Rhinolophus ferrumequinum: one gene and its partner. The protein of the gene in region 1 binds, or shares a complex with, the protein of each later gene. Links are inferred from orthologs where the notes say so. Each region holds a gene or a part of one and is shown in the gene's direction. Other genes may lie near its edges.

Evidence for each region. Proteins that work in one complex are often made in the same cells at the same time.
Region 2: NDUFAF1 (region 1) and TMEM126B share a complex: the UniProt entries of both Homo sapiens proteins name them as parts of the mitochondrial complex. The link is inferred for Rhinolophus ferrumequinum from reciprocal best matches to the Homo sapiens genes NDUFAF1 and TMEM126B.

What each region holds. Positions count from the first base shown.
Region 1 is NC_046289.1:63,892,186-63,899,307, forward strand, and holds the start of NDUFAF1 (complex I intermediate-associated protein 30, mitochondrial), read left to right. Parts: upstream 1-4,114; 5' UTR 4,115-4,505; intron 4,506-7,122. Other genes in the region: RNA polymerase-associated protein RTF1 homolog, read right to left, coding at 3,762-3,956. UniProt on the Homo sapiens protein: As part of the MCIA complex, involved in the assembly of the mitochondrial complex I.
Region 2 is NC_046294.1:58,590,503-58,598,140, forward strand, and holds the start of TMEM126B (complex I assembly factor TMEM126B, mitochondrial), read left to right. Parts: upstream 1-4,619; 5' UTR 4,620-4,635; coding exon 4,636-4,716; intron 4,717-7,638. Other genes in the region: DLG2 (disks large homolog 2), read right to left, coding at 2,632-2,650. UniProt on the Homo sapiens protein: As part of the MCIA complex, involved in the assembly of the mitochondrial complex I. Participates in constructing the membrane arm of complex I.

The sequences.
Region 1 (7,122 bases):
ACTTGAATGGGGAAGGTTTATGGAAGGATACTTTGTAACAATGATACTTTTTTACATGTAATATCTAAAAATAATTCCTAAAAAGTACTTAGGGGGCCTATTCTCTCAAAGATAAATTTAACCATTGCCACTTCAAGTAGGATGAGCAGAGAAAAACAGGACATGACAACATAAGCATCATTTAAAATAAGAAAAGAAATAAACTCAAGTAATCCAATATGTATGTAGCTCAATTTTTTTCCTTGAAAAAGGCAGAGTAAAGTTTTCATAAATACTGAACTTTATCACTCTGAATAGAGAACTCTGATTCCTTTATTATCTTGGATGCTTTTCATTTTCTAGAACCCACTGCATAAATATTATTTCATAAAGAGTGACACATATTATCTCCATGGAGGCACATGATGGGGTAAAAAGCCTAGGTTTCCCTCAAATTCTGTTTTGTTTTTTTCCAAGAGGTGCCAAAGGCAAGTATCTTCATGATTTGCAATTTTAAAATGTTGAAGAAAGGGTGTGGCCAACATAAAAAGTAAAGTCACTATCAGGTCACATGTTAAAAGAAATTCTTCGAATTCTCAAAGGTTTGAGCTTTTAAAAGCACCGAAAGTTAAAACAGATTTTAAACAACTCTGATTTAGTTACTACATACCTCTTCCCATCAAGAAGCAAGGCAAAAAAAAAATACAAAAAACAGGCCTCAATAAAAAGCATCCAACAATTCAAACAGCTTCAGAGATCTAGAAGAACCACCAGCTTTGCCACCTTAAACATCTCTGTTAATTTCTTTCAGTTATACCTGCACACACTTCAAGACACGAAGTTATTTCTCTCCCAAACTACTTAAGAGTGTCCTGCTAAAAAGATCAGCATCAGAGGTGGTCTCAAGCATTAACATAATAAGTACCTGGGCTGTACCTGGTAAAAATGCAGAGTCCAGGGCTCTATCCCCTGAGGATCTGATTCAGTAGGTCTGGGATGGGAGCCCCTGCAAAGTACATTTTAAATAAGCAACCCAGGTAGCTTCTCACACAGGTGGCCCTCCTCCCACCACCAGAAAAAAACCACTGTAGAAGACTCACCTGCCTCACCTTCAGCAAGGACTAAGTTGATGATAATACTTCTGACATAATGGCTTAGATTCCCATCGGGAAAACCCAGGGATAAAGGACCTCCTATGTTCCACTCTCACCCTAGACACTCAGAGAGTTGTCATGGTTTGTTCTTTTCCCCAAGTACAATACACTAGACAACAAATACGATGCTATAATCCCAAATGAAGACCTAGAACTAGATGGAGCAGTCCAAGGCACCTTGGTCAGGAAAGGCCCAGAATGCATTCGTTTTGTTCTCAGGATTCTTAAAGACCCCCAAAGCAGGCTGACTGAACTTCTGCTAAAGATTTCTAGTGAAAACTTCTAGAGGGCAGAGATTTTTCTCTGATTCCTCTGACAGCCTGGCACAGTGTTGAACAGACAGGTAGATTGAAGGCACTCTGTTAAGATGTGCAGGGAAAGAGAATTTTGATCTGGTTCCCATCTGATAAAAGAATGACAATGAGTGGTTGAAGAGGAGGAAGTTGAAATTGCTGTTAAAATGTATTAGGTATTACTTACACATTTCATGCTAATTTCTTTTTACAAATAGAGTTGGGTTTAAAGTTGCAATCCCCTCCAATTCTTAACTTTGGAAAAGCTCTTTGTGGATCTCTCTACCACAAAAGGAAGCTCTCAACTCATTTCATTTGTCAGAATTCTGTGGAAAATCACTAAGGACAGAATAATCTGCTTATTTCATTCATCATCAGAACCGACATCTTGACAGTGCTTTACCAAGAAAGCCCCCCAAATAATCTTTATAATTGATGTACCAATTTTCTCTAAACTATTCAATGTACTTTACAAACATGAATTCTAGCAACACGGAAAATGGCCATAATACACATTCTCATTTTGCAATATGAAAAAGTAAAAGACTAACAGATTAATTGGAAAGAGTACATACGCCTTGTTGTTGTGCAGATTTGGGTTCAAATTCCAACTCTACCAATTACAAGTTGTGTAAATTTGATAAGTTACTTCTTCAATCTCCATTTTCCTCATATATAAAATGGGGAAAATCATACTTAACTTCATAATTTGAAAACTTGACAATTTAAATAAAGCACCTAATTAAGTGACTAGTTCACCCTAGGCACTATGTAAATTGTAGCCGATGTCATTATCGGAAATAACTACATTTCTAGATCAGAAAATAGTCAAAAACAAAAAAGTTCTAATTCTCCTAAGTGTCAGTCTAAAATTATCAACCAAACTTTTACAGTCAAGAATATATATTTTTTATATTTTTGCAAATTTCAAGAGCCTTTCATTGAGAATATTTTTAACTTACCTTTCAATCGTATCCCCAAACAAGATTTCTATCCCTTTGATACTTCTCCAAAGGCCCCATGACTTCCCCACCCCATACCATCATTTTCAAAATAACCCTCTTCAACACACCTCCAGCCCCTCCTCTTAAAGTCCTCCCCTTCCATGCCCCAATATTTTAGTCTTAAGACCTCTGGCCTAATACAAATGACGCCCAGGAAGCCACTACACAAAAGCTTTATTTGCAACTGCTTGTACCAACATTCTTACGTACAAATACTTGATCCTAACGATAGCACAATTATTGATAGATATACAAGGCTAATGTTATACCTAGATTTTACAGTTACGACCAAAGATATAGCTAGAAAACAGCATAGCCCATCCTAAAACTCAAATTTTCAGATTCCAAGTTCAGTACTCTCCCTACGCAACTTACAAAGCTACTACTCTTGTATATTCTTTGTATCATTTGTTCACAAAACACAGGGGAAAACCCTTTTTTGCATCACTAGAGCATTACTACAAAGACAGCTTCCTCCCTACAGTGCTTTTCTAGAGTATATAAACAGTTCAAGCAACCCCCCCAGGACATTGAGACCAAAAGTTACTTTCTACACTTCCTGCACAATCTTCAAGTAAGAAAGAATTCTGGGATGCTGCATGAAAACGGCTAAGAGATCTTAGTCTCAGTCCTTCCATATCGCCCTATGTACTGCTCCACTTCTGACCTCTTTCCTTCTTCTAAGAGTTTTCTTCAGTCTGATATCTCATCAGGGACCCTTCTCAACCACGAACGACCCTAGTTGCCAAAAAGATTCGTGCCCGCAGCTAAGTCTTCCTCGCTAAGCACCGCAGAGGGTCTCCGGAACATTTACGAATGCCCCTCCTCTCCGTCCACACTCCTTGTCTGAAAAACTTCATCTTCCAGAGTCCGCACCTTCTCGTCACCTACCCCCCCCAAACCCCAAAGCCCCACGCTCACCCCTTGCACCTCCTCCAAAACCTCCCAGCCTCTCAGGTTGGCCGGCGATACTTCCTACCTTTCCCGGCCCGGATCGTTTGGCCTGCAGCCCGCCGCACCAATCTGGTCCCGGTAGATGACGGACCCTTCCGATCCCCCGAACCCGAACCCGAGGCCCACCAGCCAGGTCCCTGCCCCGCCTCCCCGCCCAAGGCGCCAAGTCCTCGGGGCTCAATCTCCAGGCCCCGGCGGGACTCCATGGGTCCCGGGAGATGCAGGGAGGATAGGAAGGAGGCAGCAGCGGCGGTCAGGGAACGGGGCTGGCTAGGCACTCGGGTCGGGAGGCCCCGGGCCCGGCCGGCTCCCGGTTCCCGTGGCCCGGACTCAGCCCTCCCGCTCCGCCGGCCCGCGCCTCCGCGGCCTGCCCTCACCTGATCCAGGTTCTCGTCGCTGCCGCTGTCCTCCGTATCGGAGTCGATCACCACGCGGCCTTTCCGCTTCTTCACCATGGTGGTCCCCCGGCTCCCACGCCGGACGCCGCCCGGACTCCCCTCTAGCCCGCCTGCCAGTGGGACCGCCACTGCCGCCGCCACCGCCGCTCGACCCACACAAAGGCGACCGCGCATGCGCGGTCCGCTCCGCCCCTGGCCCCGCCCCCTCCCGGCGCACGCCGTTCGCTGGCGCTCGGCGCCCCGCCCTGCTCCGCCCCCGACGCAGCGTGGGAGGCGGGGCCCAGCACCGGGCTGGGTTCCCGGTAGCGGACCACTTTCTCTTTCCCCGCGAGGGCCTCTGGAAGGCTTGGGTGTGTCTCTGCTGCGGGGCCGAAGCTTAGTGGGCTGCCTACCTATGTCTTGGACTGGAGACGTAAGCATCCGGGTCCGCTCTGAGGAGCTTTTCAACTGTCCGATACTGATGGAGTGTGGAGGACGACGAGAGCTGCCCTCCTGGAAGACACAAGTCGCCTAGACCGCCCCAAGGGATGGAGGATGGGAGAAGCTTTCGTATCTCGGTGGTGCAAGTGACAACTGAGCTGGGACTTGAAGAATGCATCTGAGTTACCCAAAAGAAAAGTAAAGGGAAAGTTGTACCAAGCAGAAAACCGCGTGGGCAAAGGCCCAGCGATAAAAGTTGGGTTCAGGGAACTGAAAGTTCATTATGGCGGAACAGATGACATGGTGTGTGGGGATAAGGCTGCGGAGGGACACGGTGGCCACATCATTCAGAGCCTAATAAGCTATATTAGAAAGTATTGAGAGATTTAAAACTGAAGAACATAATTAGATTTGTGTTTTAAAAAGATTACTCTGCCTGTAGTGTGGCAAACGCATTAGAAGGGGGGAAGACTAAGGGCAGGGAGACCATTGAGGCTGTTGGTGTCATTTTAACAAGAGATGATGGTGTCCTGAACTAAGGAAGAAGCAGTGGAAATAGAAGTGGATGGATAATTCGGAATGTAGAATTACCAGGACTTGGAGATTAGTTGGGAGAGGGATAAGGTGAGCTCCCAGACACAAATGACACTCAGATTCTGCCATAGGAAGCTGGTGGTCAGTGGGCCCTTGGCTGAGACAAAGAACACAGGTGGAGGAGAGGTTTAGGAAGTGGATGTATGTGGGAAATAAGTTCAGTTTTATGCCTGTTGAGCTTGAGGTCAGCTCATAAAAAGGGCAGCTCCAGAAGTGATTTCTCTCTGGGATTTGGAATACAGGGTAGAGAGCATAAGCAATAACAACTTGAAACTGTTCTCAAAACTTTGGAGTCCATTAATTCTTTATTCTGGTAATGAACTTGGGAGTTAGACCCCAGTCTCTCCTAGGCATTACTGGGCACAGGCGGGCTGATCTCAAATCAGGCCCAGAGTTCTTGGTCTCTGGCTCCTTTTTTCTTTTCCCCCTTTACTGTGTAAATTATATTTTCTCCAGCAGGTTTACAATACATATCACAAATGTGCATGCCTTAAAATAGTAATAAAAGAAAATATCGCATCATACATAGAGAAACTCCTGGGGAAATAAATACATACCTAGGTATCCAGTTCGCTACCAGTTATCTTGAATAGGTGTTCATCATTCAGGTAGAAAAAACAACCTAAATAAGGCGCAGCTATCTTTTTACTCCAAAGGAGTTTTCCTAAGATATAACCCCTAGACTTCTCTCCCAAAACAATATCCTTGGAACTGAGAACATGGCCAAGATGATCCAAAACGACCAGGCCAGCTCCCCCATTTCTAGCCACCCTGAAGCCGGGTGCCCTTCTGTGAGGCAGGGTCCTCCTTTTGATGACCTGATTATCTCTATTAATTGGTTCAGAGTCTGAAAACTGGGTCAGATCTGAGAGTGGACAAAGGATGATCACTTTTTATTGGGGCAACTGCCCTCAGCCCCCTGATCAGCCAACTTTGATTTCTCCTGATTCAAAGTTGGAGAGCACCCTTGGCTATCCATCTATTTTGTCCTTGGGGATGCTATGTTCTGTTAACCATCTCCATAATTCTCTGAGGGTCAGGCCTCCTTGGTTGTCTTTCTGAGCTCTCCACTCATAATAATTGCATCTACCTGGCTTCTGGCAGTTAAGTGCTGCCACCTGACCGCCTGTGTCAAGGTCCTGTCACCCCATGACTGTGGTTAGCTGAGTTTTGTAACAACTTCTACTGTCAGTCCTGTCCTACATAGGAGAACCACTACTGAACTTTCAGGGATGCCTGTGCACCTTTTACCTTCACATTCCTGATGGCCTTGGTAAATGGAATATCCTGTTGGTCTTCCCATGGAACAATCATTTGGGGGGATTTCTGATCTTATATAGTAGATCCACTTTGTACTTCTCAGCTTTTCAATCCCGTCCTACACCATGTGCTTTGGCAACTCTGGCTTTTTTTTTTTTTTAACTTCATGTGGGCTGTAGAGTTTTCCATGCTTTAAGAGTCATTCTAGTAGCAAATCTGCACCATTTCCTGGGTCCTCAGCAGAGTGATAATTTCTGTGGCCCAGGAGAGTGCTCCCAATCAATAAACACTCCTTAATCCAATTTTACAATTTGGTCCCCTTAATTAAGCACTCTCAGAATCCAGTGTTTTGCTACTCTTCCAGCTTTTGCTATTATGTGCTTAGCTAGTTCTTGCAGCACCTTTAGGGTATAGTCCCTTTCCTCCCTTATCAGGTTCAATCTGTCCCCCACTGGGTTATGTAATGTTTTAATACTAGTTATTGGCCTATCCAGGAGGGAGGTAAAGGCAGATGCGGTCTTATTTGGTACAGGCCTCTGCACTGTCTAATAGCAAGATGGGAGAGCTGCATGGTGAGCCATTTCTGCAGGTTCAGAGGGCTCAGGAGGGTGATCATTCAAGATCTTCAGTGGCATCAATCATAACCCCAACCCAAATGTCTGTCTGGTCCCATTATTTCCCAACTAGGGCCTTGGCTTAGATGACCTGCCTGGCTTGGAAGTAAAACCTTATTAGAGCTCAGACTATTCTGATCATTGTCCAGGGCCTCAGTTTCCCCTGCCATCCCACTGCAGGTGTTGAAGCCCTCTTCATATGCAATTAAGGAGGCCCTCCGGCTTTCATACTTGGCTTTCAGTAACAGTCAGCCAATTCTACTATCATAGTTCCTATGCCCCACCCCCATATTTTTAAAATACCATCCCACCAGCTGGTACCTTCCTTTCCACCAGCATACTATCCCTATTCACCAACAATGCAATATTTAACAACTGGACCATCAGATCTTCATTGCTAGCTGTGTGCTGGGTAACCCAGCTTCTAAACATTATTTTATTACCTCCTTTCT
Region 2 (7,638 bases), on another chromosome or scaffold:
ACAGAGAAATAAAGAGTCTTCTGTTGATAAAACTGAGATCTGTTAAAATGTGAAGAGTGGGGTTGAGGAGGTAGGAAGTTGTGTCATAAAGCAAAAGAGCAGTGAGTACAGGGGTTTGAGGTACAGCAGTTTTAGCTTATCTAAGAGCAGTCAACAATAGTGCCTAAAAAAATGGACTTAATGAGATGTCAGACCCATTCGCACTTCCCATCATGGTTGTATGTTACCAACCAGAGAACCTCCTCTGTACTTTTATAATAACATACAAAATAAACACCAAATGAAATCTGTCCTATGAAAATTTATTTAAACACGAACATATTCAACAATGATTAAACATGTGGCTCAATAAAGATATTTATTGTTAAAATTACATTAATCTAGCTCTTCCATCATATCTACCAGATGTCACAATGAAGAAAGAAAAAAGATTCAAGATGACAGAGGATAGTACTCTCTGCAGAATAAATCTAGGTTAGATTTTACTTATATTTTAGAAATAGTACAAAAGTAAGCTTAGTCAATTAAAAATATAATGCACATGTCACAATTTATTTGGCTAGTTGTGTAAAGATTCAAAAATATATCTTAATACTTCTGGTTTTAAGAGATTAAAAACAAGATAAATTGTTTTTCTAAATAGATTTAAAGAGATCAGTTCATAAAGTAAATTACATATGCATATACTTTAGTATAACCCAAATATATACTTGTTTTGCTAATTAGAACTTGTTGGTTCCTTAAAAATTTGATCCATTACAAGCAATTCATTGTTAAAGAAGGAAGAGAGAAAAGGAGGGATGGAGGGATGAAGGGGGGAAGAGGGAGGAAGGGACGCAGGGAGGAAAGAAAGAGGGGAAGAGGGAGGAAGGAAGAAAGAGGGAAAAGGGAAATAAAAATTAAATTACTTCTCATAAAGTATAAGTTTCAATAATGTATCAGCAATTTTTGTAACTTCCTTTAAAGGTAGGAACTCTTAAGAGACTCAGTCTATTGGGTTTAAAAACCTTAAGATCACTGGCTTAGTTAAGTTACACCTAAAATATCAATTGCACTTCCTCCTCCTCCTTCCTAGATTCCCTTTTATCCCTTTATATCTCTCTCCCTCTCCCTGGCCCCATCTGTCTCTCTCTCTCTCTCTCTCTCTCTCTCTCTCTCTCTCTCTCTCTCTCTCTCTCTCTCTCTCTCTCTTTCACACACACACACACACACACACACACACACACACTCACGCAATGTGTTTAATTCAATTATAAGTCTAAAATAAAGTAGTCCAATAGGGACAATGTCTTGAGAACAATAAATGGTAGAAAGAATTAAAATACACTGTAAGTTAAATAAATCAAAGAGCCATATCATTTATTGGCTACATTACCAAAACCACTCTTGTTCCAGACAAGCCACTATTGTCAGGTCTAGACAGGTGTGGCTCCAAAATCTCATAGAGAGTTTACAAGTGCTTCTCTCGGTGACAATGAGCGAGACTGGGAATGAGAGAAGGAAATAATCCCAGCCTTAAATCCCAGTGTACAAAAGGACATTGCTAGGTGTTTCAAAAATTTTAAATATCATTTTCTATCTCTACAGATGACAACAGTTGGATAAAGCATCTCACTGATCATAAGTTTTCTCAATGCACCTTCCAAATCCACAGGTAGACGGATTCAACATCATGCAGAGCCAGGCTACACTTTAACCATCACCCTGAACTTTAGTTTCAGGTTGTAGCAACTCATATAACTGGGCAATATTTGGATCTATGCTAGCTCAGTATAGTAGAGTTCAGTGGTGTTCATATAAATTTTGGTTCAAAACTCTCGAGAAAACTATAGTTGATCTGATCTTCTGTACATGGCCAAAAAAAAAAAAAAAGGCTGGTTTCCCTTGTTTCACTAGGATCCTTAGGAACCAAGTTAACCTGGGATAGATCCAGGCTAAAGTAAATCCCAAGATCTGAACTATAATAAACTATATGTCAGGAACCCATTGGCTCTTGATCAATTTCAGGAATGGATACGTGGTAGGAGTCAGGTGTTTGCCTCACTTGAAGAACTTGCCAATCATGCTATTGGATATTGCATACATCTGAAAAAGCACACAGTTACCCAAATTGTCCTTTATCACAAAAGTGAAGATTTACACTAGAGTAAACCCAAATATGAAATCTATTTTCAACCAAAAGATAAATAATAAATCTATAATTTTTTTCAGTGCAGTTCTGCTATCTTTTACAACCATGTAATTCACTTGATAATACTAAAACCATGCCGAAGAACACTGTACAAGTTTCGTTCTTAAAGATTTTTAAAAGTGACCTTTAACAAGCTAAGAAAACAAGCTGAAGAAAATCCCAAATCTATGGTACCAAATCTATCCTCATTATAAATGGTGATTTAGACAACCTGATTTATGAAGTCATCAATGTCTATAATTAAATACTATAGTCCTACTTCATTTCACGTTAGCAAAATTATATTACTAAACGATGTGCCACAGAAAAGACATTATTATAATAAATATTTCCCCAAGCTCAAGCAAAATTTTACTCTCAAATGGAATGCAATGTAAATTGCAAATACCAGAACCAAGAAAAGGGAGAAACATATATTATATAAAAGCCTCATAGCCCACCTTTCTTCTTGACTGGCATTCTTGGTCCTTCTACTGTCACAGGATGCAGGATCTCTTTTCAGGTCTCAACTCGATCCAACTGGATTGAAGCCAAGAGCCAGGTAACTGTTGCAAACCACTTCACCTGTTTAGTTTTGAAATCCAGGCTGTCTTCTTTCAGGTAAAGAAAAAATAGCGTATCTTTTCCACAATTAAACTTTTGACATTGCCCACAGAGTTTAGTGAAAAATAACTTTTGAGTTTTTCAAGTTTTTCAATTTTTATAAAATATTCTGTTTTTTAAAAAGCTAATAAAATTATTGTAAGCATAGAAAATATTATTAAAACTCCTCTTCAGGCAGCAACATTTTTGAAGATCAATGAATAACTCAATTAAGGCACAAACCAAATTTACAAAGCTGTTTCATTACTCAATACATGATCTAATTCAAAAATGAACTGGTTGATGAGAAAGATCCTCAATTCTTTAGAGAAAAATTTAAACACCCCTCCAAAAAATAAAAATACTTTTAAAAACCTCTTTGACTGGTCTCTAAAAAGGTGGGTGAGTTTGAAGAGTTTCCTGGGGCAGAACACAGACTGAAAGGCCCCTTTCTATTTACTGGACCAGAAGTTCCAGATCTCGCCCCCTCAGTAAGACAGGATCCAGCTTGCTGTCACTTTCATTTTTTTTCTTCTGTGTTGTCCAAGCCCCTCAGGCTTGATCCTTAATGCCCCTCTGATTCTGATCCTCCCGTGTATTAACCGAGAGGACTGAAAAGAAGGAAAGCAATCCCTTGGCATGGAGACATTAAAGTGACAGTGCTACTCAATGGGCACTTGATGCAGGATGAGTTGGCGAAGCAAATTTCTTCACACTGGAGTCATTCACATCATGCCATCTCTTCGCATCCAAGCAGCTGCCTATCCAGCGAGGAAAAACACTGAGACTGCTCCAGAGAAGTCAAACCTTCCCGCAAAGGTGTTTTCTGAGACGCTGTAGTAATATTAGGCATGTGAGCACAAGCTGTGCAGAGAGAGTTCGCGATTTCCTAAATGAGAGTGTTCGGCTGCTTGGCTTCCACATCCACCCTTTCTCTCAATCTCTCTCCAAACTACCCACCTTCCTTGTGCAGAAAAGACAAGAAATCTGTGCTACCGCTGGCCACCCCTACCCACACCCCATTCTTATATAGAAGAGCACAGAAATGTCCTGCACCCTCCAAGCGATGAAGTGTTTCCTCAGGCAGGAGAAACAGCAGCACTAGAAATTATATAACTCTCGGATTTGGCTTCTCTAAGACATGGAGGCTGGAGGGTCGGGGGTTGCTGGTCTGGGAGATACTGCTGGGCACTGAGCGTGCACAGAAAGGCGCCAGGCCTCGTTGCTGCGCCCCCCACCCCGAGACACTGGCTGGCACGGGGGTCTTCTCGGGAATTAGGGGGCAAATTTCCCTCTGGTCCCTTTCCAAGCGGAGTGAAAGGATGGAAGATGAGGGCACTAAAGATTAGGAAGAGGAGTCAGTCGGCTGCGAGGGGAGGAGGCCAGTCGGGGCTGCCCTGGCGGCCGGGTGGGCTCAGGGGAGGAGGTGCCTGAGAAGCCAGAGCCTTAACACTTGGGCCAAGCCAAAGGCTGAGCTCCCTCAAGGAGTGAGAGGGGCGGGCAGCTCGGCCCCAGCTAACAGAGGTGCCCAGAAGAGAGGAAAGCGCGCAGTAACATCCCTGCGCTCGGACCGCCCCTTGTCTCCCTCGGGATGGGAGAAGAGGGAGCTAGGTTAACAAATAGCAAAAGAAGGGAATGCAGGGCTGGCGGGGGGGCGGGCCTACGGGAGTCTGGACCTCCTCGAAGCCAATGAGAGGCCGTAATTTCAGGAAGCCGCACCCAATCACAGCCAGGATGGAGGGCGCGGCTTTTGACTAAGTCGGGGCGGGCCGGGCGGGCCGGGACTGCGGGAGAGAGGCGTGACCACTTCCCTCCCGGCGTTCTCGGTCCCCGCCCACTCGCTAGTCACGTGAGCCCTCAAGATGGCGGCGCTCGGGCGTGAGGCTGGGGCTGACCTGAGGGATGGAAGTGTGGTGCCGGTGGGAGCTGGGGAAGTGCGCAAGGTAGGCGGAAACCCAGGTGGTATGGGCCCTGATTTCTGTAGCCTCAAGTGTTGGAGGACTCTTCTGGAATGATGTATAAGGGGCTTGAATACCTAAAGAGAACAGCTCCCAGGTCCATGCAGGGCTCAATCAAGTCTCCAGTTGCAATGGAAAGAGGCGGAAAGAATGTAGGAGACCTAAAGTCCAGTCTTGATTGCTTGATTTTTCTTGCCTCCTGGCCTTTGCACTGGCCTTTCCTTCAACTTGAAAGGCATCCCTGCATCTCTCCCTCCCCACACAGCGCGCGCCAAATTCTCCTCTTTCGGATATTCGCGTAAATGTCACTTCCTCTGGGAAGCCTTCCCACATTTACCCTGGATAGGTTAAGTTTGGCTTTTGCTTTTATGGCATACTCACTCTGCGTTTAAATTCCCTGCCTTTTTGTCCAGACCTCCGTCTGGGTTGTGTGTCCCTGAGGATGACTACATCTTGATTATCCCAAGGGTTGTCAAATGATGGAAGATTGTTGAATAAAATTCTGAAAGTCAGGTGAAATAGTACACATAAAAGCACTACAAAACCATAAAATACTTTGTAAACTATAAATCTACATAAATACACTCTTTCTGGTATGATCATGGAGACCAGTTGAGTGGCCTTGGACTATTTAGATAAAATGTTGGTTATAGCAAAAATCTTTGTTTCAATACTTGTCAAAAATCTATCAAAAAGCTATCCATATATTTTTGTTTTAATAACAGTACCTTCCAAAGACTAGGCACTCAATAAATATTTGCTGTCCTGTTTTAGTATTTTAGGCTCATAATCCTGTGTCCTCCTAGACAAGGTAGGGGGTTGATACAAGTCATAGCCTGAAAGTTTTCTTTGTGAGGAGTAAGGGACTTCAATGAATTGAATGACAGCAAAACAAAAAATTTATTCAAGGTTTCTGGTTAATTATGTTACTGACTTCTGTCTTCATAGAACATTAGATATAGAACCTCCCCCCAGATGTTACTATCTCTTCTCTTCCATTTTCCATTTAGATGTCCGAGGCAAAAGATTAAATCTAGTCCCTGAGAAACTGTAACTTGTAAAAAAAAATAAAATTTTCCCTGTCCTCCCCAGATATTTTAAAGAAAAAGATAGAACTACCATGTTTCCCCGAAAATAAGACCTAGCTGGACAAACAGCTCTAATGCGTCTTTTGGAACAAAAAATAAGACCTGGTCTTATTTTACTATAAGACCGGGTATAATGATATAATACAACATAATATAATTAATATAATACCGGGTCTTATTAATTTTTGCTCCAAAAGACACATTAGAGCTGATTGTCTGGCTAGGTCTTATTTTTGGGGAAACATAGTAGCTTGAGTACAGTCTAAAATGATGCAAGGAAAGAAACTAAGTCATTATTAATTAGTCACTGTGTAATACCATACAAATGTCCAAAGGAGCCCATATCTTCAGGATATTTATACCATGGATGAATTGGCCTTTCATTAGTTAGGGTTAGGATTGGTACATAAGAGGTCGGACAATTAAGTTCAAGAACTCATCCTAGAAAAAGTGCTACATACCTCATTGCTGAATATCACTATGGTCACCTTCGAAGTACGCCCCTTGGGAAGCTATGCACTGATGCCAGTGCTTAGTCCACCCTTCAAAGCAATTTTGTAACTCTTTATCTGCAATGGCCATCAGAGCTGTCATCGTATTACCCTTGATGTCCTGAATGTCATCAAAATGTCTTCCTTTCAATATTTTCTTTATCTTTGGGTAAAGAAAGAAATCATTGGGGGCCAGATCGGGTGAGTAGGGAGGGTGCTCCAATAGTTATATGTTTACTGACTAAAAACTCCCTCACAGACAGTGCAGTGTGAGCTGGTGCATTGTCGTGATGCAAGAGCCAGGAATTGTTGGTGAAAAGTTCAGGTCATCTAACTTTTTCACGAAGCCTTTTCAGCACTTCCAAACAGTAAAATTGGTTAACTGATTGCCCATTTGATACAAATTCCTAATAAATAATCCCTCTGATAATCAAAAAAGGTTAGCAACATCTTTGCAACAGGTTCACAAACTTAATTGTCTGACCTCAGCTTATTCAGCAAATGAGTATTACAGTGATGTTCAACATGTGTCCATTGACTGCCAGCAACAGAATCACTTGGTGCTATTAAAATGCAGATTTCTAAGTTTCACCCTACTCCTGTTGAATCCACATATCTCAGGTGGGAGCTCAAGAGACTGCATTTCAAATAAACTCCCCACATGATTCTTGTGCACAGGAGAGGTTGAAAATCACTGATTTATTAAGTAACTTCTGTGTTCATTGCACTTAATCCACTCTAATTTTCTTGCCTGGGACTCCGGAAATTTGAGATTTAGTCTATGCCATTAACTAAATTTGATGTAAAAATGGAGATTGGTATAAATTGTGACGGGCCATACACTTTTCTTTGAATGAACTTTCTATTCATTGGCTAACCTGGAATCCCATAATTCTAGTGTGGCAAAAAATTTAATGTTATTAAGACTTTTCACAGAGATCTAAGAGTCTTACCCAGAGCAAAACATTCAGAAAGGATCCTTTCTGAGGATCCAGGGTGTTGTGTTTTTTTTTACCACTGGTTTCTGTGAAAATGGTACTGGCCAAATCCTCATGGTCCCTTGACATTGACAACCACCTATTCATATATCACATTTGGGACACAGGAACCTCCAACCCTGGTGTCCAGTGCCATGAGACCCTACTCACCGGTATACCACACAGCAATTTCCAGGAAAGGCCCTGCTTTCACCCCAGGTACTACTAGGGAGCTGGATATGTAACTCATGTAATGCAAGGTAGCCATGATCCACTGCCTCTTCCTAGCCTGGAACAGTGTCCCTCTTTGTGATTTTTTTTCTCTCACTGTTCTGCAAGGCAATCCCTGTT